Macaca fascicularis: one gene and its partners. The protein of the gene in region 4 purifies or fractionates together with the protein of the main gene of each other region. This does not show direct contact. Links are inferred from orthologs where the notes say so. Each region holds a gene or a part of one and is shown on either strand. Other genes may lie near its edges. The genes, in order: OGDH, RAB7A, DLAT, PDHA1 and DLD.

Region 1 (3,513 bases), on a different chromosome or scaffold from region 4:
CAAATGAGGGAGAGGTTTTCAGCCTGACAGCAATGGGACTCAGTAACTGCCTTCTGAAAAAGAAACACCAGAACCCCTCCCTTTGCATTTCCTACTCTTTGGAGGGCAAACAAAACTGCCCAGAACGTTACCTGAATGTGCCCCGCTCCACGTCCTGGCCGCTCAGTCGGATGTGGATACCCTCCTTCAGGAGCGAGCCAAACGCCATGTACTCTGCCAGAGCCCAGTCCACAGTCCGGTTCTTCACCATTTCCCCACGAGTCTTCAAGATCCGGCTCAGCCCTGCAGAGAGACAGCTCTCACCAGCTGCTGCAGGCCCTGCCTGCACATGTCTGCCTTGCTTCTCAGTGTGCCCATGGCAAGAGTGGAGCCTTCTTCACTCATAGTTTCTGGGTTCCTGACATGCTGGAAAAGCTGTGACCTCAGTCTCCTTTACCACTGAGGAAGTGTAGGATGGTGCTAAGGGCAGGGAGTGAGAGAGGTGGCTCCATCCAACCACCCCAGAGGCTTGGAGCAGGGCAGGAAGGGAGTCTCTGTAGGACACATGATGGGGGTCAAGGTCACAGTACTAGACAGTCTGGGCCCAACATTTCCACAGGTCAGCACAGAGCTTGTTACCTCCATGAATAGTAAAGTTTTCCACAGGCACAGAGCTAGCCACGTTCCCGATGTGTGTCAGAATATCCTCCGTCAGACCCGTGGAGGGGCAGGACATGCTCCTGGGCTGCCCGTCCAGGGTGAAGAAGCCTAGGAGAGGAAGAACAACTGAGGCATGACATCTGCTCTACTTTTCCAGGGACCACACCATGGCAGACACATGATGTGGGGGAGAAGCAGGGTGAGAGACAATGTAGCTCACACTGTGTTCCCCAGAAAACATGAGTGCAGGGGTCTGGGTCCAGGGTCTGCAGGGGTTTGGCTGAAATGGTGCACACAACTGTGCACTGTGGGTACAAAGTGGAAAGCATGAATGTTTTCCGGGAGGAGGATGCCTCGTTACATCAGATCCTCAAAGGAGCTTATTTGTGGCACTGGTTCTTCACTCACCAGGCCAAGGAGAGTCCAGCCAGTGCTTAATGTGCAAGATCTTCTCATCTTTAGATCTGGCAAAAGCTTCCTCACAGATCTTATCATACTTGGAAATTTCCTCCTGCAGGGTTGGACACAACACAGCAGTGACTGGCACAGGGCATGACTACTGCACACGCCCACCCGTACCCCCACACTTTCTGACAGCCACCATGCAAGCCCAACCATACCCTGGCACAACTCCCATGCATGCCCACCCATACCCCCACACTTCGTGGGTACGAAACATCTCAGCCTCTGGGCCTGCTCCTTCTCAATAGGCATAACACCTGTCTAAGATTTTATTCTTTTCATCCCAGAAGTTTCTTCCTCACATTTGCTGGGTAGAGATTCTGCTCAGAGTTTGAACCCCTAACCCTTCACATTTTTTTTGTCTTTTTTTTGGTGACGGAGTCTTGCTCTGTCACCAGGCTGGAGCGCAGTGGCACGATCTTGCTTCACTGCAACCTCCACCTCCCGGGTTCAAGCGATTCTCCTGCCTCAGCCTCCCAAGTAGCTGGGACTACAAGTGCATGCCACCATGCCCAGCTCATTTTTGCATTTTTAGTAAAGATGGGGTTTCACCATGTTGGCCAGGATGGTCTTGATCTCTTGACCTCGTGATCCACCTGCCTCAGCCTCCCAAAGTGCTGCAATTACAGGCGTGAGCCACCACGCCCAGCCCACCACATTTTTTCTTAAGAACTGGTCCAGGTCAGGCGCAGTGGCTCATACCTATAATCCCAGCACTTTGGGAGGCCAAGACAGGTGGATCACTTGAGGTCAGGAGTTCGAGACCAGCCTGGCCAACGTGGGGAAACCCTGTTTCTACTAAAAATACACAAACTAGCTGGGTGAGGTGGTTTGCACCTGTAATCCCAGCTACTTGGGATGCTGAGGCATGAAAATTGCTTGAACCAAGGAGGTGGAGGTTGCAGTGAGCTGAGATCACACCACTGCACTCCAGCATGGGTGACAAGGCTAGACTCTGTCTCAAAAAAAAAAAAAAAAAAAGAACTGGTTGAGCTCTCATGGTTCCCAGCACAGTCCCAAGGAGGTTTGGGCCACAAAGCTCTGTCTCCAGGATAGGCTACAGGTTATCAGGTTGTTCTGACCTGGGATCTGTCCTGTTCCCATGCTCAGACATAGCTTCTCACACCCATCCTCTCCCTCTCTAGGGCAGCTGCTTGGCCTTCCCACTCACAACAAACCAGCACTTACTATCCAGATTACAAGAGGCCCCTTACTAAGCTGGATCCACCACCTACCTCCCACCCCTGCACGATCTGTGAAATCTGAGAAAACCTACTGGGCCACTACTACCTCAACCTGAAAACATCCCCTTCTCTTCCCCAAAACACTGTTTAAGGCCCACTTCCTTTACAAAGCATCTCAGTGGCCCAGATTCTCCAAAAAGTTATGCATTGAAATGCTGTAGTTGTAAATATTTCACATCCTCTCACGTGTATCCTCATAACTTGCAACAGTGAGAACTGGCCCTGTGGCCCACCTTTTCTAGTCATCCCCGGCTCTGGAAAGGCGCACTGGGACAGAGCCGCAGGGACATACCTCATACTCGGGCTGGTTGACCACACCCTGCGACACCAGCAGCTCGGCGTACTTCTGTAACACGGGCTTCTGCTTGCGGATCTGCTTGTACATGAGCGGCTGCGTGAACATGGGCTCATCCATCTCGTTGTGGCCGTTGCGCCGGTAACACACCTGCTCAGAGCAGTGAGAGGATGTCAGAGACAAGGGGTGGCCCCTTGGGAAGAAGTGCGGTTGGGGAACCTACCCCATCTCTCCTAGGTGATGGTCATGTTCTTCACGCCTCACACCTGCCCTGGAATTTACCTTCTCTAGAATTAGGATTCTGTGTATCTCTCCTACACAGTACAGCTGCTCTATCAGTGAGGAATGGTCCTCCTCACCACCACAGCTCCTGCCTGGGAAGCATTCCTTGGTGCTCACAGGCCTGAACAATTTGGAGCTCAAAGGAACCTGCATGAGGCCTGGCAGTAGAGAGCCCTGAGGTGACTCATCTAAACAAGCTCCTCTCCTTGGGACACAAGGGTGCCGAGGGCAACAGGGGTGGGTCAGATGATCTGCCCAGGACGTGCTGTCCCTGGAGTCACTCACCAAATCGACGACCACGTCCTTGTGGAAGGTGCTCCTCCACTCGGCCGCCACTTTGCACACGTACATGACAGCCTCGGGGTCATCTGAGTTCACGTGGAAAATAGGAGCATTCACCACTCGGGCCACATCGGTGGGGTAGGGGGAGGAGCGGGCCATCCGAGGGTCGGTGGTGAAGCCGATCTGCAAGGAACATGTAGCCTAGCAAGAGGGCACCTGGCACAGCCGGCACAGGGACCAGAAGGTGGGGCCGAGGCCCGGCATGGCGTGCACTTGCCGCCTGGCTACTCTGAGTATGTGCCCCAAAAT
Region 2 (4,282 bases), on a different chromosome or scaffold from region 4:
AGGGTAGCACAGCTTTTCTATGTAGAATGGTACTGAAACTATGGCCGACACAATATCAGTGCTACATTAAACTTTCTTGCCAGCTGAAGAAAAAAATCCAGTATGCCAAATGTCCAAATGTACCTTTGCTCAAAGACACTGCAGTGCAAGGTAATGGTAGTGACATGGACTACCTCTCGAGTGAACCAAAAAAATGCCACTAGAGTCGGCCGGACGCAGTGGCTCATGCCTGTAATCCCAGTACTTTGGGAGGCCAAGGCAGGCAGATCACCTGAGGTAGGGAGTTCGAGACCAGCCTGACCAACATGGAGAAACCCTGTCTCTATTAAAAATACAAAATTAGCCGGGCATGGTGGCACATGCCTGTAATCCCAGCCACTCGGGAGGCTGAGGCAGGAGAATGGCTTGAACCTGGGAGGCAGAGGTTGCAGTGAGCTGAGATCGCGCTATTGCACTCCAGCCTGGGCAACAAGAGAGAAACTCCGTGTCAAAAAATAAATAAAATAAAACAAATGCCACCAGAGCAAAAGGAGAAACAAGTTGAGTGTTGAAGGTTACTCTTTAAAAGATGTGATAAATTAGAAACTGTAATATTATCTTCTACACTCTCTGAAGAGCATACAAATGCTGTTGTTAAAATTAACAAAGCCTTAAAGTTAGCCAGAACACCATCCTTTGGATTACTACGGATTCATCAGCAGAAATGAGAAATAACTCTTTCCAAAAAGCCTCAAGTTCTACCACCAAATCATTCCACAATAGAATTTCTGGCCAAGATCATTCACCTTTTAAAAATTCCCTGAGGACAGGAACCATGCCTATCTCCCTAAGTCAACATCCCACAACGCCTGATACATTGCTGATACTCAATGGATACTCAAAATACTTCATGAATGAATAAAAAGGTGCCTATCATTACTCTCCTCTAAACTCAAACATTATATAAAGCTACAGTACTTATTACTCACTTAAATATTTTAGGCTGGGTAGCAAAGTTAAAAAAAAAATAAAAAAGACAAATTTGAATACAACAGGATTGTGAACGCTAAGCTTTAACTTAGCCAGTCCCTTCAGGAGAAGCACTCCTAACTCACCTTCCAGTTCTTAAATCCAAATCTGAACAAACCTTCCCAGGTTTGAAGAAAGAAACACACTAAGAGGAGACTTTATTAATCCATGGATGAGAAATCATGTGCCTCATCAGCTGCTTAAGTCACAAGAAAGAGACAAGAGCCTGTTCTTTAGGAAACCAAAGATGCAGTATTTTGAATAGGGAAGAACCAACTGGCTGGACAGCCATCAACTAAGGTTGTAAGAAAGGTTCGCTAGGCAGCTTTGCCAGGCCTACCTGCAAAATTTTTCAAACCTCAGTTAAGTACCCCGCCAGTATTCAAGAGCTCCTAATTCAACTACACTACAATATGTGTGATAAGCCGCAAACGGCATTTCTTATGGCTTTAAGAGAGAACTGATGCTACCAGAAAGACTTTCAAACGACATCAACAGAAAGAAAGGAGGTGGTGGAAGGCAGTGAGGTACAGATACCAGGTGGCAAAAGATAAACCACACGCTTCAGGGGCACGTGAAAGCAGTATAACCTACAAATTGAATAAAGTGCTCTGGAGTCTGACTGCCTGGGCTTGCATCTTTGCTTCGTAACTTAGCTGTGTGACCTTGGTCAAATGGTTTAGCCTCTCTGTTCAATTTCCCACTGTGTTAAGTGGGCACAACAGTGGTACTTTAGAGGGTTGTTCAAAGAACTAAACATAATGATCTGTTAAAAGGTCTTGCCACGCTGCCTAGCATATAACAAACGCTCAAATATTTGCTGTCAGTATTCTCAATATTCCCCTTATGACCCATTAGGTATCAAGCGTAAAATGAATGCAGAAAGAGGCCCCCAACACGGTCCGAATGGAAACACAACTCTACATCCAACTACCATCTTTCCCCGACTAAGTTGAAAAACTTCTCTCAGGATTTACCGTAACATGCCTAGGACAAAAAGCTCCCTGTCTTCCAGCGCCAGAGGCGCCTCAATGTACACAAGTGTTGAGGCGATCCCAGCGCACGTGACCTGACTCACGCCTTGACTCAGTTGCCGTCAGGGAACCTCTCCCACTAACAGGGTCAGGCTGTTCAACTGAAGAGCCGGATGGGAACGCGGCTCGGCCCCCAGCGCCTGTGACCCATGCCCGCCAGGTGGGCACGGCGGCGGGCGGCGTGGGCTCTGACACCCTCCTGCTCGCCACGCTAAATAACTCCACCGCCTAGCGCGTCCTGCCGCGGCGCAGGGCAGTCCAAGTCAATGAACCCTCTTGGGTCTCTGAGATCGACGCCAACAGTAAACAGAGCGTCCGAGACCGGCGGCCGGGGCCGGCAACCCGGCCAGAGGTCACGCCCGACGACCTCCGACCTCTCCAACCCGGGTGGGGTCCTGGCCTGCTTCGTGGGCCTGAGCGATGCCGAGTTTGCCCGCGAGGCCAGGGCTGGGCCTGGAGCCTGCCAGGAGGACAGGGAGGACGCGAGGCCCTGGCGACCGAGGAGTTGAGGAGGGGGATGGGGCCAGGCCGCCGGCCGGGCTGGGCCCGCTGCTTACCGCGGCCTCTGCGCTGGGGGCTCTGGGCCGGGCGCGTCGCGAGGGCTCCCGCCGAGGAGGAGACTCAACGGAGGACAGAAGAGGGGAGGTCCAAGTTCTGGTTCCAGGGAACTCTGCTGAGCTCTCCAAGCCGCCAACTCCGCCGCTGCCGCCGCCTCAGGCTTTATGGCCAAGACTCCAGGCCCGCTCCCACTTCCGCCACCGCCGCCGCCCCGAGCGGAAGTACCTGTCACGAGACGCTCGACGCCGGGGTGCGGAGGAGGAGCCCCGCCTCAACCTTGAGTCACGTTCCGGCTGCCTTGGGACAGAGCCTGGATCACGTGCTACAAACATGTCTGCTCCCAAACGGTTGTCCCCATCTTTGAGGCTTGTACAAGGAGCAGGACGGCGCCATGTTGGACCCACAGACAGATTCCCTCAGCCATCCCTCCTTGCTCCAGAATAAAGAATGCCACCGAAGAGAGGTCAAGGGGTAAACTGGCCATTCCAATTGTGTCCTTCTTCGGAAGGCATCATTTATCCTTACTTTAACTACCTAACCAAAAATTATTATCACCATTTTACAAATAAGGAACTGAGACCGAACATATCAGGTCACTTGGTCTAGCTCAACACAGAAACTGGTGGAGCCGGGTTTTGAACCAAGGTCTGTCTGATGCCAATGTGTGTTATCGTTCTAGTAGACTGCAAATGACTACAGCAATTGTGTGACTCAGTAATAGAGACAGGAGAAATAGACACTTTGGCAGAGGAGACAGCACGAGAAAATGGAAAATGAGCTAAAGCCTCTCTGAACTTAGTATTAAAGAAGATGTGATAAAGATGGACCTGGTAGAACTCTTCTTGTAAGCACAGAGCAGCCTCCCAAGCACCAGCCCCATCTGAACACATCAGGATCCACTCAGAACTTTTGTCTCCATCTTTAACAATGCCCTCTAATAGTCTTTTCTTATTTGGTTCATGCAAACTCCATTCTTTCAATTGTTCCATCCAAAAACCTTGCAATTGTTACAGTAAGTAAGTAGTTAGACCTGAGCAGGGCAGGAGTGGGGCCACTCCCCCACCAGCAATGTGAGGCAACCATGACGTGGTGGTCAGATTAAGCTATCTCTCTAAAATAATAATTGGTTGCAGTCAGAACCAGGGAAAGAGTCTCCCAATAGATAAAAACACCTAAAACTGGTGATCAGCAGCTTCCCATTGAGATCTCAGAAGTTGAGGGGTCTGGGGAAAAAAAAAAAAAAAAAAAAAACCTCAAAATCTAGGCAAGCAGTCCTAACCCTGAGATGGCACAATGTCTGGGGTTTCCCCTACTTTTTCAGCTAAAATTGGCTCTTTCCGCAAAACCCTCGCTACCTATTCTCCTGTTTTCTCTATGTGTATTCTGAAATGGCCTTGCACACTGCAGGACCATCAGCTTCTGGGGTAAGTCTACTTTTCTCTGCTTTCACTTTGCATGTGCCCAGGAGTTCGAGACCAGCTTGGGCAACATAACAAGACTGTCTCTTCCAAGATAAATAAAAAAGAAAGGAGAAGGCACACATCTACATCAGACTTTTGCAGTTGTACTTCTCTCTACCTGGAAAGCTCTTCCTCCAGGTATCTGCTTGGCCACTCGCTCACTTTCCTCTGGTCTTGACTTTAAAGTGACTTTTTCAGTGAAATAGCCTTCCCTATTTAAAA
Region 3 (4,045 bases), on a different chromosome or scaffold from region 4:
CCTAACAATAAGCCCAAGCTACCTGTGGTGATCTCAAAGTGCGAGGAGATGTAGTCCAGACCAAAACTGAATTAGGCCTTCCCTTCTTCTTGGTGGTGTTCTTCAGTAAGATAATCTGGACTGGCCCCTGTGTTTGCTTCCCTACCTGCTGCGGCCCCATTTGATCAAGAGACCCTGGAAGTATCGGAAATTCAGAATCCAAGATTGTGTAAATAAAGTTTTTTTCTAGGTGGAAAAAAAAATATGATCCCCAGTGTTAGAGATGGGGTCTGGTGGGAGGTGTCTGGGTGTTGGAGGAGGATCCCTCATGAATGGCTTGGTGCATGCCCCATGGTAATGAGTTAAGGGGAAATCTGATTGCTATGAAGAGCCTGGTACCCACTCCCCTCTGTCTCTTGCACCCTCTCTCATTATGTGACACACCACCCTTCCCCTTTCCCTTCCACCTTCCACCATGATTGTAAGCTTCCTGAGGCCACAAGAGAAACAGATGCTGGCGCCGTGCTTCTTGTACAGCCTGCAGAACCATGAGCCAAATAAACCTTTTTTTCTTTACAAATTACCCAGCCCTAAGTATTTCTTTATGCCAGAGTAAAACAGACTAACACAGCCTACTATAAACTCTAATTATACAGGGAATAGATGTTAGTAAAAATCATCCTCAAAATCTGTAATGTAATGTTCTTGAATGAAAAGTGCCACGAATTACCCTGTGTACTACACTGAGGCTGAGAAAGGTTACAGGAACTGTTCAAGTTCTTATAACTGGAAAGAACAACCAGGAAGAAAAGTTGTCAATCTTCATGTTTAAATTTCTATATACTCCCAAATGACAAGACCTAACTAACCACATTTAAAGTCAGTTTCCAAGATGTAGTAGCCATCTATGAAAAAAAGTAAGTAATAAATCACCTAGAGCAAACACTCAAAGGCTGAGCCTCACCTGCATGTGAGGGGGATATGAGCTACCAGGAGCCTGAGCAGAAGGTATAGGTGGCGAAGCAGTGGCAGCAGGGGTTGGTGCTGGGGCCGCCTGTGGGGTAGGTGCTGGCGAGGAATCCAATGTATAATTTTTAAAAGCCTCAATATCTTCAGGCCTAAGGAAGAGAAAGAATGCATAAATATAATGGGCAGATTCAACTTTCACAAAAGTAGTCTTAAAAAATAGTCTTTAACTCCTAATTCTCAATTCTGGGTAAAATACTCCACCAAGCAATGAAGTTCCATAAATTATGAGTGCACTACTCACTTGCCAACTGTGATACAGATGATCGCTCCAATGGGAACATCCCTGGTACCTTCAGCAACAAGTATCTTTGCCATATAACACTCCTCCAGGCTCTCAAATCCAACAGTGGCTTTATCAGTTTCAACCTTTTAACACAAAAAGCAGCAGCTCAGCTTTATACTGTCGGTATGTAGTTTATTAGCTTGTGTCTAGAATTTTTTTTTTCTTGAGACAGAGTCTCACTCTGTCGCCAAGGCTGCAGTGCAGTGGTGCAATCTCGGCTCACTGCAACCTCCCCTTCCCACGTTCAAGCGATTCTCCTGCCTCAGTCTACCGAGTAGCTAGGATTACAGGCAGAGGCCGCCATGCCCAGCAGATTTTTGTATTTTTAGCAGAGACGGGGTTTCACCATGTTGGCCAGCTTGGCCTCTGTGTCTAGAATGATACAGTTCATGTGACGATAAGGCCACTACGACAGATTTGAAAGAAGAAATTACTTTAGAAACGCGTTGGCTAAGTATCAGTTTGGCCAGCTGCTGGCAACTTATCCAACCAATCTTGTCTAACATCAAGTTGTGAAAAACACTTCAGTTTCTTAAACAAAGGGGTAACTACACATCCAGAAAGTCAATGTTCAGTCAATTCGGCAAAGCCAGTCTCTTCGAACTCATCTCCGTTATTTTAAAACAACTTACTTCTGCAATTAGGTCACCTTCGTTGATTTTGTCCCCCTCTTTTTTTTCCCAACGGGCTATAGTGCCTGCCTGCATTGTGGGGGAAAGAGAAGGCAATGGAACCTGGAAGAGAAAAAGAAGAAACATTAAATTTTTAAAGGGCTACCTAACTCTCAGTCTGGCTTAAGATTTCATTCAATTCAATTTCATGCAAAGTGTATCCAGTTCCATTACACACTGGGAACTAGGGATACCAAGGCAGTTTCTGCCCATGAGAAGTTAGTAATTTCCAGTGACAGGCTTTCTGCTCCACAGTCCTACGGGTCTCACAAAGCATGAACCTCGGCAGATAATTGCATACAGCCCCAGTCTTGAAGTTCCCCTTTCAACGGAATAGTTTCAACGGAATAGATCATGAGAGGGAAGCTAAGGAACCAAAGCTGACTACTGGACAAAGGACGAAAGCAGATACTGGGAATGGTTGGAGGATCAATGAGGCCTCTCAAGGAGGATCCTGCAGGCATCCAGTCAGCTCTGAAGGACAACGGAGATCCGAGAAGGGCGGGTCTAGGGCTCACCTTCTGATGCGGGGGAAGACTGTAACAGCGGCGGCCGGGCGACCCCAAAAGCTGCAGCAGTAGGCGGTTCCGCGGCGTGGCCCCAGAGCTGGGGGTCCAGCCGCACAGTGCCCGGACCCCTCCATACCCTGTAGTCGCGCTGTTGCGACGAGCCGGAGCCGGGCCAATTCGCGAGGACACTCGTGGAGTTCCGGGTACCTCCTGCAAGGCCGTCCACCGAGCCTCGAGTCCCGCCCATGGGGCTACATTCTGGGCCCGTCGCGCACAGACGCGCCACATAGTGCCACCAACCCCCCACACCCCAACACCAACGCCGTCTCCGGAGTGACCTCTCCAACAGCAGCGCGGCTTTGCCGTCAGCCACGCCGCACAGCCGCACGTTGTCGTAAAATGGTTCCCGCAGGTTTACTCCACCCGCTCCCCAGGCCAGAAATGCGCGGCACGCAGGCTTTTCCTCCCCTGAGCGGGGACGAGGGGCACTCACGCGGCAGGGGCGTTCCAGAGGGGCCTGTGCGGGCGCAAGTTGGGGACAAATAACAGACGGAAAGGGGTGGAAAGTGGTAGGGTCCTAGGGGAGGCATCCGAAAGGGTGAGACGGGGCCTAAGACACGGGAAGGGCACGACTGAGAGGGAGGGGCCTAAAAAGGCACCGAGACGAGGGTTAATTGCGGCCGAGTGGCCTGAGAGTCTGGGCCGAGGGGCGTGGCCAAGCTTTCTGGAAAAGCTGGAAGTGAGCCCGGGAACTGGCTAGGGCAGTGGGAGCCTCAGGCCAAAGGGCGGGGGTCTTGAAGCGCTGGGGTGGTGAAGGAGCCGGGAACCGCCCGCGAGGAAATCGAGGGGTCCAGCGTGGTGACCTCTGCTTCTGCGCATCCGAAGGGGGAAGGACTGGGCCCCGCCCCGCGCAGGCTGTACTGGTTGCAAAGATTTCATTTCAGGTTTGTAGCCCAAGTGGAAAGTGGAGTGAACAGGTGTTCCATCCAGCCAGGTGGTACGAAAGGCAGCCCAGAGGAAGAAACATTCCCACATTCCTGTATACTGTAGCAAGATTAAGCATATTCCCTGTATAAAGATACAGGTTTACAAAACAGGTTTGTGTTACCCCCTAACACCATAGAATTCTTTTAAGTAACCAAAAGCTTCGTTATGTTTCAAATGTTTGCTACCTAAACTTAACTGTAAGCTGTTGAAGGCAGGAAGAGTGCCTGCGTGGTTCTTCCATGTAGCCTCAGAGCTTAGTATCCACTAAATAGCGGGGGCTGATTGTGTCTTTGGAATCAATGAACAAAAAGTCACCTAGACGTTTTGTTAGGTACGCTTCTCTTGTAAAGTTGTCTTTTAAATAGGAAACATATCGTTTCTGAACTGAAGGTGACATTAAATAAGGAGGAAGCATATGCTGTGTATCACCGCCTCCCCAGTGTACAGATGGTTAGAGAACACCAAGAACACAAGAAGAAGTTGGAGGAAAAAATTGTTTAAAACAAGATTTTAGCCAGGAGCGGTGGTGCATGCCTGTAGTCCCAGCAATACTTGAGAGGCTGAGGTTGGGGAATCGCTTGAGCCCA
Region 4 (3,430 bases):
ACTGCACTCCAGCCTGGGGGACAGAGCGAGACTCTGTCTCAAAAAAAAAAAAAAAAAAAAAAAAAGGCTTTGAGCATGTTCTAGAGCCTCCTGCTATTGGCTAGGCAGATTTCCATCTCATGCTCCTTTCTCGTAGTGTGTTGTGGGGCTGGCAGCCACTTCTACTTCACAGATCCTGCTAGTGTGTAACAAAGTTGACAGGCACCAACAACCTCTGCTACCCAAACCCTGAGGCTCTGCTGGGAGTATGACCACTTGGGGTCTATCACCAAGTGGCTTGCTCATTCTACACTAGCCCACTTCCAGGAGATGGCTCTGAACACTGAGGGATGGGGAAACATTGAGGATCCTTGATTGGTTTGGTGCAGTAGTTAAAACGGGCGAGTGGGGAGCTGGCTCCATGATAAGAGTAGCTATGTACCTTTAACTGCTCTGTGGCTCAGTTTCCTTGTCTGCAAAATGGGCAAAACAGTAACACCTAACTCAGAATTGTGAAGGTTATGTGTTTGGGAAGTCATACATTCTACAAATCACCATGTCTCCAGCCAGGGCTGGCCCGCATGTATTCTTTTCAGGAATTGGGAGAGGTGGGGTCAATATCCATCACTCAGGGCCTGGCACTCCCAGCCTTAGGGTCCTGACAGACTGCTCAGCCCATTGTATCCAAGCTGTCATCTTGGTCCTGCTCTAGTTCATTCTACTCATTAGCTCTTATTTAATGTTACTACATCCCACCCTTACTTCCCTGTCTCCCCACTTTCTGACATTTGCATCACTGCCCAAACATACATGGTATGGCACTGAAGTGACAACTTCAGAAACCTTGTGTCTGGGCTGTGGAACACTAATTTAGGGAGAACACCCAAACCTCCTAAGCCTATACTAGTGCTGAAGGAACTGAAACCTCTTTAGGCCAGTCTCCCTGTTACCATCTCCCTCACTGCCATACACTGAAGGGAAAGATCCTTAGGACTGAGCAAGACTAAGATTACAAGCTTCAACCATACTGTTTGTGTAAGACACACACATTAAATGCCTATTGTATACATGACATTCTATGCTGGACACTACGGGGATCCCCAATCTGTTCCTTCAAGGGACTCATGATTAATGGGGGGTGGGGAGGAGGGACAGAATTAACCTAACAAAAAGGCAGTGTAGTTGTCATGATGAAGACAGGCGAAAGCAGAGGAAGCACCAGGACAGACTTCCCCCAAATGAGAGAAATGTGGGCTTCCCAGCAGGTGAGCTACCAAGACCAAGCTACCCAAAGGAGCCCTGCTTGCTTCACTCTGCTTCCATCTTGTGCACCTCAATTATCAGCTACCCACTAACAGCTTCAGCAGGCACACGGGAGGCAGTCTTTGAACTTCCAGAGATAAATGTCATTAGCCCAGAGGCCTTTAGAGTCTTACCTTCCCAGATCTACAATAGGCGGCAGCAAACCTTGTCGCCTCTCGGACGCACAAGATATCCATTCCATCCACCTGTTAATAAACGGGAGGGGCGAAGCATGAATCCAGCTGCCCCAAACCATTTTACTTTCACATCACCTGCTTATGTTTGAGAACGAAACTCTTCAATGTTTCTAAGATTGTCAAGGGTCTGCACAAGGACATACCCCTGGCCTTGGCCCCGGCCCCACCACAGGTGTCCTTACTCTCAGCCCAGGAATGAAATCGCCTCTCTTGTAGTAATCAGTGCTGGCTGCTGCTCTCTCAACAGATGTTCCCATTCCATAGCGATTATTCTCACAGATGAAAATACAAGGTAATTTCCACAAAGCTGCCATGTTGTAAGCTTCAAATATCTGGCCCTGGAAGTAGTTATGAAAAGGGGTTTCATTTGGCTTCTTTCTCTAGGATCCATCATCTGTAACAGCTGCTGCTCTGCCTGGCACAGAAAGCTTTCATAAAGCACAGAAAGCCTCCTCTTCTAAAACCGAGCTTTGGGCTGGGCACGGTGGCTCAGCCATGTAATCCCAGCACTTTGGGAGGCCGAGGAGGGTGGATCACGAGGTCAGCAGATCAAGACCGTCCTGGCTAACACGGTGAAACCCCGTCTCTACTAAAAATACAAAGTAGCCGGGCATGGTGGCAGGCGCCTGTAGTCCCAGCTACTTGGGAGGCTGAGGCAGGAGAATGGCGTGAACCCGGGAGGCAGAGCTTGCAGTGAGTGGAGATCGTGCCACTGCGCTCCAGCCTGGGCAACAGAGCAAGACTCTCTCTCAAAAACAAAACAAAAAAAACAACCAAAAAACCGAGCTTTGGATGGTGAGGGAAAGCGGGGTGGGTGACAGATAAGAAGCAGCAGGCATCATACTCTTGCAACTAAGAAAGATGACAAACCAACTACTACTTGTTTCTTTGGGGCCATGCTAGCAGTAAGGAACACACTGGAAAAAAGATCAGTATGAAATCTATCGGGCCCACTGGATAGTCAGAGTGAACCAGCACCTAAGAATCAGCCTCTAGAACAGGGCTTCACAGAGTACCGGCCACAGACTGGGTATTACTCGGTACCAAAAGAAGCACAAAAAGAAGCACAAAAACTGAATTAGGACTGAGACGCTATTACCCGAATTTGACACTGCCAGCGCGGACATCCAAGAGAATGGGTCTGTATCATTTTGCAATAGGTTAGGGGAGGTCCTTTATCAAGCACTGATATAGAGCAAAGGTGAGCTCCTTCACAGGAATGCGCCCCCCTAAGTCTTTTGTGAAACAATGCTAAAAGGTCACTCTCTAATCTGGCCATAAGTCAACCAAATTTGAGCTAGCCATAGGAATTACTATTTCACCTAATAAGCAATAAGCTGCTGCTTTGGAAATTCAACTGTGAATATTAAACACTTTGAAAATAAGACCGTTATTGGAAAGTTAAGAGACATAATTACCTGGTTAGCAGCACCATCGCCATATAAAGTCAGGCAGACCTCATCTTTTCCATTATACTTACAGGCTAGAGCAATCCCAGCGCCCAGGGGCACCTAACATTAAGGACAACCGAGAAAGGAACCATAGAAATCCATGAGGGGAGATATCAATGCCCTGCATTTTAACTCCTGGTCAGAATCTGGCACAGAAATTACACTGCTGCTACAAACTCTCCTTCCAACCCCATCTCTCTGTTTATCCCACCCCCGATATTTTCAATGAAGCAGTAAAGTAATATATAAATACTATGTTCTATTTTAACCAGTAAGCAATAACATTTCTGCATTCAAGAGTTAAAAAATAAAACGTGGCCGGGCATGGTGGCTCACGCCTGTAATCCCAGCACTTTGGGCAGATCATGAGGTCAAGAGATCGAGACCATCCTGGACAAGATGGTGAAACCCTGCCTCTACTAAAAATACAAAAAATGGCTGGGCACGGTGGCGCTTAACTGTAGTCCCAGCTACTTAGGAGGCTGAGGCAGGAGAATTGCT
Region 5 (4,028 bases), on a different chromosome or scaffold from region 4:
AGGTAAAGTTGTGGGACCAGGTGGTTGTTAGTTTTTGGTCTGTGAGTGTTAGTAGTGTGATGTTTAATGAGCCTGTGTTGTTGTAGGTGTGACTTAGTATGATGAGTAGGGGTAGAGAGCCAGTTAGTGTGTAGAATAGAAAGTATGTGCTTGCGTTAAGGCGTTTTGCTTGGCTACCTCATTTAGTAATGATAATTAGGGTGGGGATAAGGGTGGTTTCAAATAGAATGTAGAATATAATTAGTTCTGTGGTCATGAATGTCAGAATTAAGGTGATTTGCAGGAGAATTGTTGTGAAGAGGAAAAGTTTTTTTTGTGAGGGGGGTTCGTTGCATAGGTGATATTGGCTTGCTGTAAAGCAAGGATCCAGCCCAGACATCATCTCCTCAAAAAGGCCTTTCCTGACACTGTATCTAAAATTATCTCTCTTTCTCCCTATCACCTGCTTTAATTGTCAGTTACTTCCCAAAATATTTATCCGTTACTTATATATTGTCTGTCTTTTATCACCAAATTACAAGTTTCACAAGAGCAGGGTTTTACCTTGTTCACCGCCTGGAACACACTAGCTCAACACACATTCAAACGAATAAATACATAAACAAATGAACTATAAGACACTTAACATAAGTTATTCCAATATTCACTTACTTTTACATAGAAACAAAAATGAACTGTCAACTAACGTGATGAAAAAAATGTTTTACTTAAGTACTTACTCAGCTGATCTGCGTAAGTTCTCAGAGGCACTGCAGAAAGTCCCTGTAGGCCATGAGATATTCGATTGAAATGGCCCCTCTAGAAAAAGAAAATGTTCCTACTATGTAAGATATGAATTCAAAACATAGAACTACTTAAGGCTGATGAAAACAGAACAATTTTTGGCAAATGTATCAAGCAAGGATTATTAGTGTATCTTCTTCCATTGCCACACAGAAGTTACAGATCAATTTTCCCTCTTTGACGATAACTCTTTGACGATAACTAATCATTTGAACTTTTCAGTCTCAGCTTGCCACACCCATCTTTTTATTATGAATAGTCAACAAACCATCTCATACTTAATTTTAAAAATGTATTCAATGGTATTTTTATTCAATTTTCAGAAAACATGGCTAATTATTAGTTCCAGGGATCATTTTAATGTCATAAAGCTCTGAGCCAGCCGTGGTGGCTCACGCCTGTAATCTCAACACTTTGGGAGGCTGAAGTGGGCGGATCACCTGAGGTCAGGAGTTCCAGACCAGCCTGGCCAACATGGTGAAGCCCCGTCTCTACTAAAAATACAAGAGAATTTGCCAGGTATAGAGGCGGGCGCCTGTAATCCCAGCTACTCGGGAGGCTGAGGCAGGAGAATCGCTTGAACCCGGGAGGCGGAGGATGCAGTAAGCCGAGATCGCACCACTGCACTCTAGCCTGGACGTCAGAGTGAGACTCCGTCTCAAAATAAATAAATGAATAAAGCTCTGGAAGTTCTAACTTAAATACTTGAATAATCTATACATGATAATCCTTTTACCTGTAATTTTTGTTTCCTAACTTTAAGCCAGCATGTATATATAGTCCATATTTACTTAGAACCATCTATGAAGATGTTCCTGAGCCATCAACTAGGAATAGCAAATTAGACAAGGTAACTTAGGAAAATGCAAAGTAGTGTACTTACGTTCTGGAGCTACGACAGTTTGATAAAACTCATCATCTCCCTAATCTCTATATATGGATGGCTACCATTTCCTAAGGGCAATGAGGCAGAAAGAAAGAAAGCAAACAGTCCCTGCTTCTATCACAGTAGGAAAATGGGCAGCAGTGACAAAACTACTCCAAGGCAACTCTTAACACTTGAGGTCAGGACAGCAAACCCAAAGAGCAGCCGATTGTCAATCTTAGAGTTTTAGTCCCACCTCCGCCGCTCCCTAAAAGCATGACTTATAGAATGTTACATTAATTTTTGGGAACGCAGGTTCCTCATCTCTGAAACAAAGGGGTTTGATTGCTATATTATTTTTGAGGTCTCCACCAATATAGTACCCGGCCACGGTCTCACATACACACAATTTGGCTGTGTCTGGCAGGCAGGTTAAAAAGGAAAGTTGTTCTGATAACCTACTGCAATTAAAGATTTAAATATCCAGAAAGACCTGAGAGATGGCAATGAACACCAGCTGAAAGCTGCCAACACTGACAAGACCTTAGGGGAATTCCGAGGGCTTTCTGTTGGAGCTGACTGGGTCTGAACCATTCAAGAAGTGACCCCAGGGTTACCTGCCCACTGCATAAAATGAGGCCACTCAGGGGTCAGAATTAGGATGAGAAAAAGGCAGAGGGTATAAAGAGCCAGACTATACGGGACGTGGGTGGCTTACACTTCCTCCAAGGTAGAGGCCTCTGTGTGACCGGGATGGCCCTCGGCCCAGGCTTGGGGGTGTGGCATGTGTAACCGCCGGCCGTCACACAACCTGAAAGGACTCGCCACAGCCTGGGCCCAGGCCCGTCCCTCGCCTGCTGCCGCCGCAGGAGAAGCTGCTACCTCGGAGCCTAGGGCCGGGCTGAGCCGGTGCAGAGGCGGGGCCAGGGGTGGTGAGGGACAGGCGCCTGGGCTCCGCCAGGCCAACGGGCTTAGGCCGCGTCCCGGACCCACAGAGCGGGACCTTCCGTGCCTCTGGCTCAGCACGACCCCACCTACTCGGCCCTCACCTTGGCCAAGGAGCAGTACACACGACTCCAGCTCTGCATTCTTCCGCTGTATCTTCCCTTCCGCCAATGCTTTCACCTCCGCTGGGCGCCTCCGCCGCCTCACCAAGGTCTCCCCGCCCTGCGCATGCACAGGCGCAGTTACGTTTTCGCCCGGGAGCCGCGCGATTGGCCCGCGCGGTTCTACCGTAAGAGGTGTTCCTGTCAGGCTAGGCGTCGTACGCTGTCGTAAGGAGCGTAGTGCTTTGTCGCAGCGGGGGTGGTGGTGGGAAAGACTTAGGGGCGGTGTCAAAATGTCGAGCTACAATGTATTCTTATACTTGGAAGATGAAATAAACAAATAAAACTATCGTTTGCCTAATGCACGCTACAGACAGTAAAGCGTGACAAGTTTGACAAGCTCTTGGTTGTGCTAGGCATTCCTCCGCACTTTCTACAGAGATTTCATCCTTGCAACAACCATATGGAGTATTGCTAGTATTTCCATTTCTTGGATGAGGCCCAGAGAGGTTAAACATTGACCCCAAGGTCTTGAAAAGGAGAGATAACTGCAGCCCCAAGGCCAAAACCTTTGGTCTTAACTACTGCTTTATACTCGCTCCCCTCAAGTGCCATATAAGGGATGGGGCTACAGATTTTGGCATCGCCAGCATCCTGCTCTAATTAGCTAACTGACAATAGGTAGAAAACACACTATCTTCTATTTCTTTGGTTGAGAAACACATCTGCCCGGTAAAACAGAGTGGGATGGTGGATGAGATTTTAGGTTTTGAGAGATAATCGGTTGAAAGGGTTGAAAAACACTCTCTTCGGCCGGGCGCGGTGGCTCAAGCCTGTAATCCCAGCGCTTTGGGAGGCCGAGACGGGTGGATCACGAGGTCAGGAGATCCAGACCATCCTGGCTAACACGGTGAAACCCCGTCTCTATTAAGAAATACAAAAAAAACTAGCCGGGCGAGGTGGCGGGCACCTGTAGTCCCAGCTACTCGGGAGGCTGAGGCCGGAGAATGGCGTGAACCCGGGAGGCGGAGCTTGCAGTGAGCTGAGATCCGGCCACTGCACTCCAGCCTGGGTGACAGAGCGAGACTCCGTCTCAAAAAAAAAAAAAAAAAAAAAGAAAAACACTGTCTTCAAGATTGAGCATGAAAGTCTAAGGTCTGATTCTTGCCTTCCATAACTCTAAATAGTGTGAATAAACTTAATTCTACATTTATTGAAAGTCTACCACCCAGGCCTTGTGCTGGTCTAAACACTGGTTAGAAATTACTGCCTATTTTTGTTCAGGTTTAGATATGAGTAATATTTAGTGTTTGTTATAGAGACGGCATTGCTGG

Evidence for each region.
Region 1: the proteins of PDHA1 (region 4) and OGDH fractionate together in Homo sapiens (co-fractionation; 3 studies listed by BioGRID). This does not show direct contact. The link is inferred for Macaca fascicularis from reciprocal best matches to the Homo sapiens genes PDHA1 and OGDH.
Region 2: the proteins of PDHA1 (region 4) and RAB7A fractionate together in Homo sapiens (co-fractionation; 3 studies listed by BioGRID, with this or other methods). This does not show direct contact. The link is inferred for Macaca fascicularis from reciprocal best matches to the Homo sapiens genes PDHA1 and RAB7A.
Region 3: the proteins of PDHA1 (region 4) and DLAT fractionate together in Homo sapiens (co-fractionation; 3 studies listed by BioGRID). This does not show direct contact. The link is inferred for Macaca fascicularis from reciprocal best matches to the Homo sapiens genes PDHA1 and DLAT.
Region 5: the proteins of PDHA1 (region 4) and DLD purify together in Homo sapiens (affinity purification with mass spectrometry; 4 studies listed by BioGRID and IntAct, counting the BioPlex papers as one, with this or other methods). This does not show direct contact. The link is inferred for Macaca fascicularis from reciprocal best matches to the Homo sapiens genes PDHA1 and DLD.

Annotation. Positions count from the first base shown.
Region 1 is NC_088377.1:85,652,843-85,656,355, forward strand, and holds part of OGDH (2-oxoglutarate dehydrogenase complex component E1), read right to left. Parts: intron 3,388-3,513; coding exon 3,208-3,387; intron 2,791-3,207; coding exon 2,638-2,790; intron 1,151-2,637; coding exon 1,048-1,150; intron 748-1,047; coding exon 619-747; intron 283-618; coding exon 132-282; intron 1-131. UniProt on the Homo sapiens protein: 2-oxoglutarate dehydrogenase (E1o) component of the 2-oxoglutarate dehydrogenase complex (OGDHC). Participates in the first step, rate limiting for the overall conversion of 2-oxoglutarate to succinyl-CoA and CO(2) catalyzed by the whole OGDHC.
Region 2 is NC_088376.1:154,694,913-154,699,194, forward strand, and holds the start of RAB7A (ras-related protein Rab-7a), read right to left. Parts: upstream 2,803-4,282; 5' UTR 2,600-2,802; intron 1-2,599.
Region 3 is NC_088388.1:110,956,281-110,960,325, reverse strand, and holds the start of DLAT (dihydrolipoyllysine-residue acetyltransferase component of pyruvate dehydrogenase complex, mitochondrial), read right to left. Parts: upstream 2,807-4,045; 5' UTR 2,760-2,806; coding exon 2,481-2,759; intron 2,026-2,480; coding exon 1,924-2,025; intron 1,375-1,923; coding exon 1,250-1,374; intron 1,098-1,249; coding exon 944-1,097; intron 55-943; exon of another isoform or gene 1-54.
Region 4 is NC_088395.1:19,221,777-19,225,206, reverse strand, and holds part of PDHA1 (pyruvate dehydrogenase E1 component subunit alpha, somatic form, mitochondrial), read right to left. Parts: intron 2,990-3,430; coding exon 2,897-2,989; intron 1,817-2,896; coding exon 1,661-1,816; intron 1,488-1,660; coding exon 1,416-1,487; intron 1-1,415. UniProt on the Homo sapiens protein: The pyruvate dehydrogenase complex catalyzes the overall conversion of pyruvate to acetyl-CoA and CO(2), and thereby links the glycolytic pathway to the tricarboxylic cycle.
Region 5 is NC_088377.1:149,413,441-149,417,468, reverse strand, and holds the start of DLD (dihydrolipoyl dehydrogenase, mitochondrial), read right to left. Parts: upstream 2,813-4,028; 5' UTR 2,737-2,812; coding exon 2,698-2,736; intron 799-2,697; coding exon 720-798; intron 1-719. UniProt on the Homo sapiens protein: Lipoamide dehydrogenase is a component of the glycine cleavage system as well as an E3 component of three alpha-ketoacid dehydrogenase complexes (pyruvate-, alpha-ketoglutarate-, and branched-chain amino acid-dehydrogenase complex).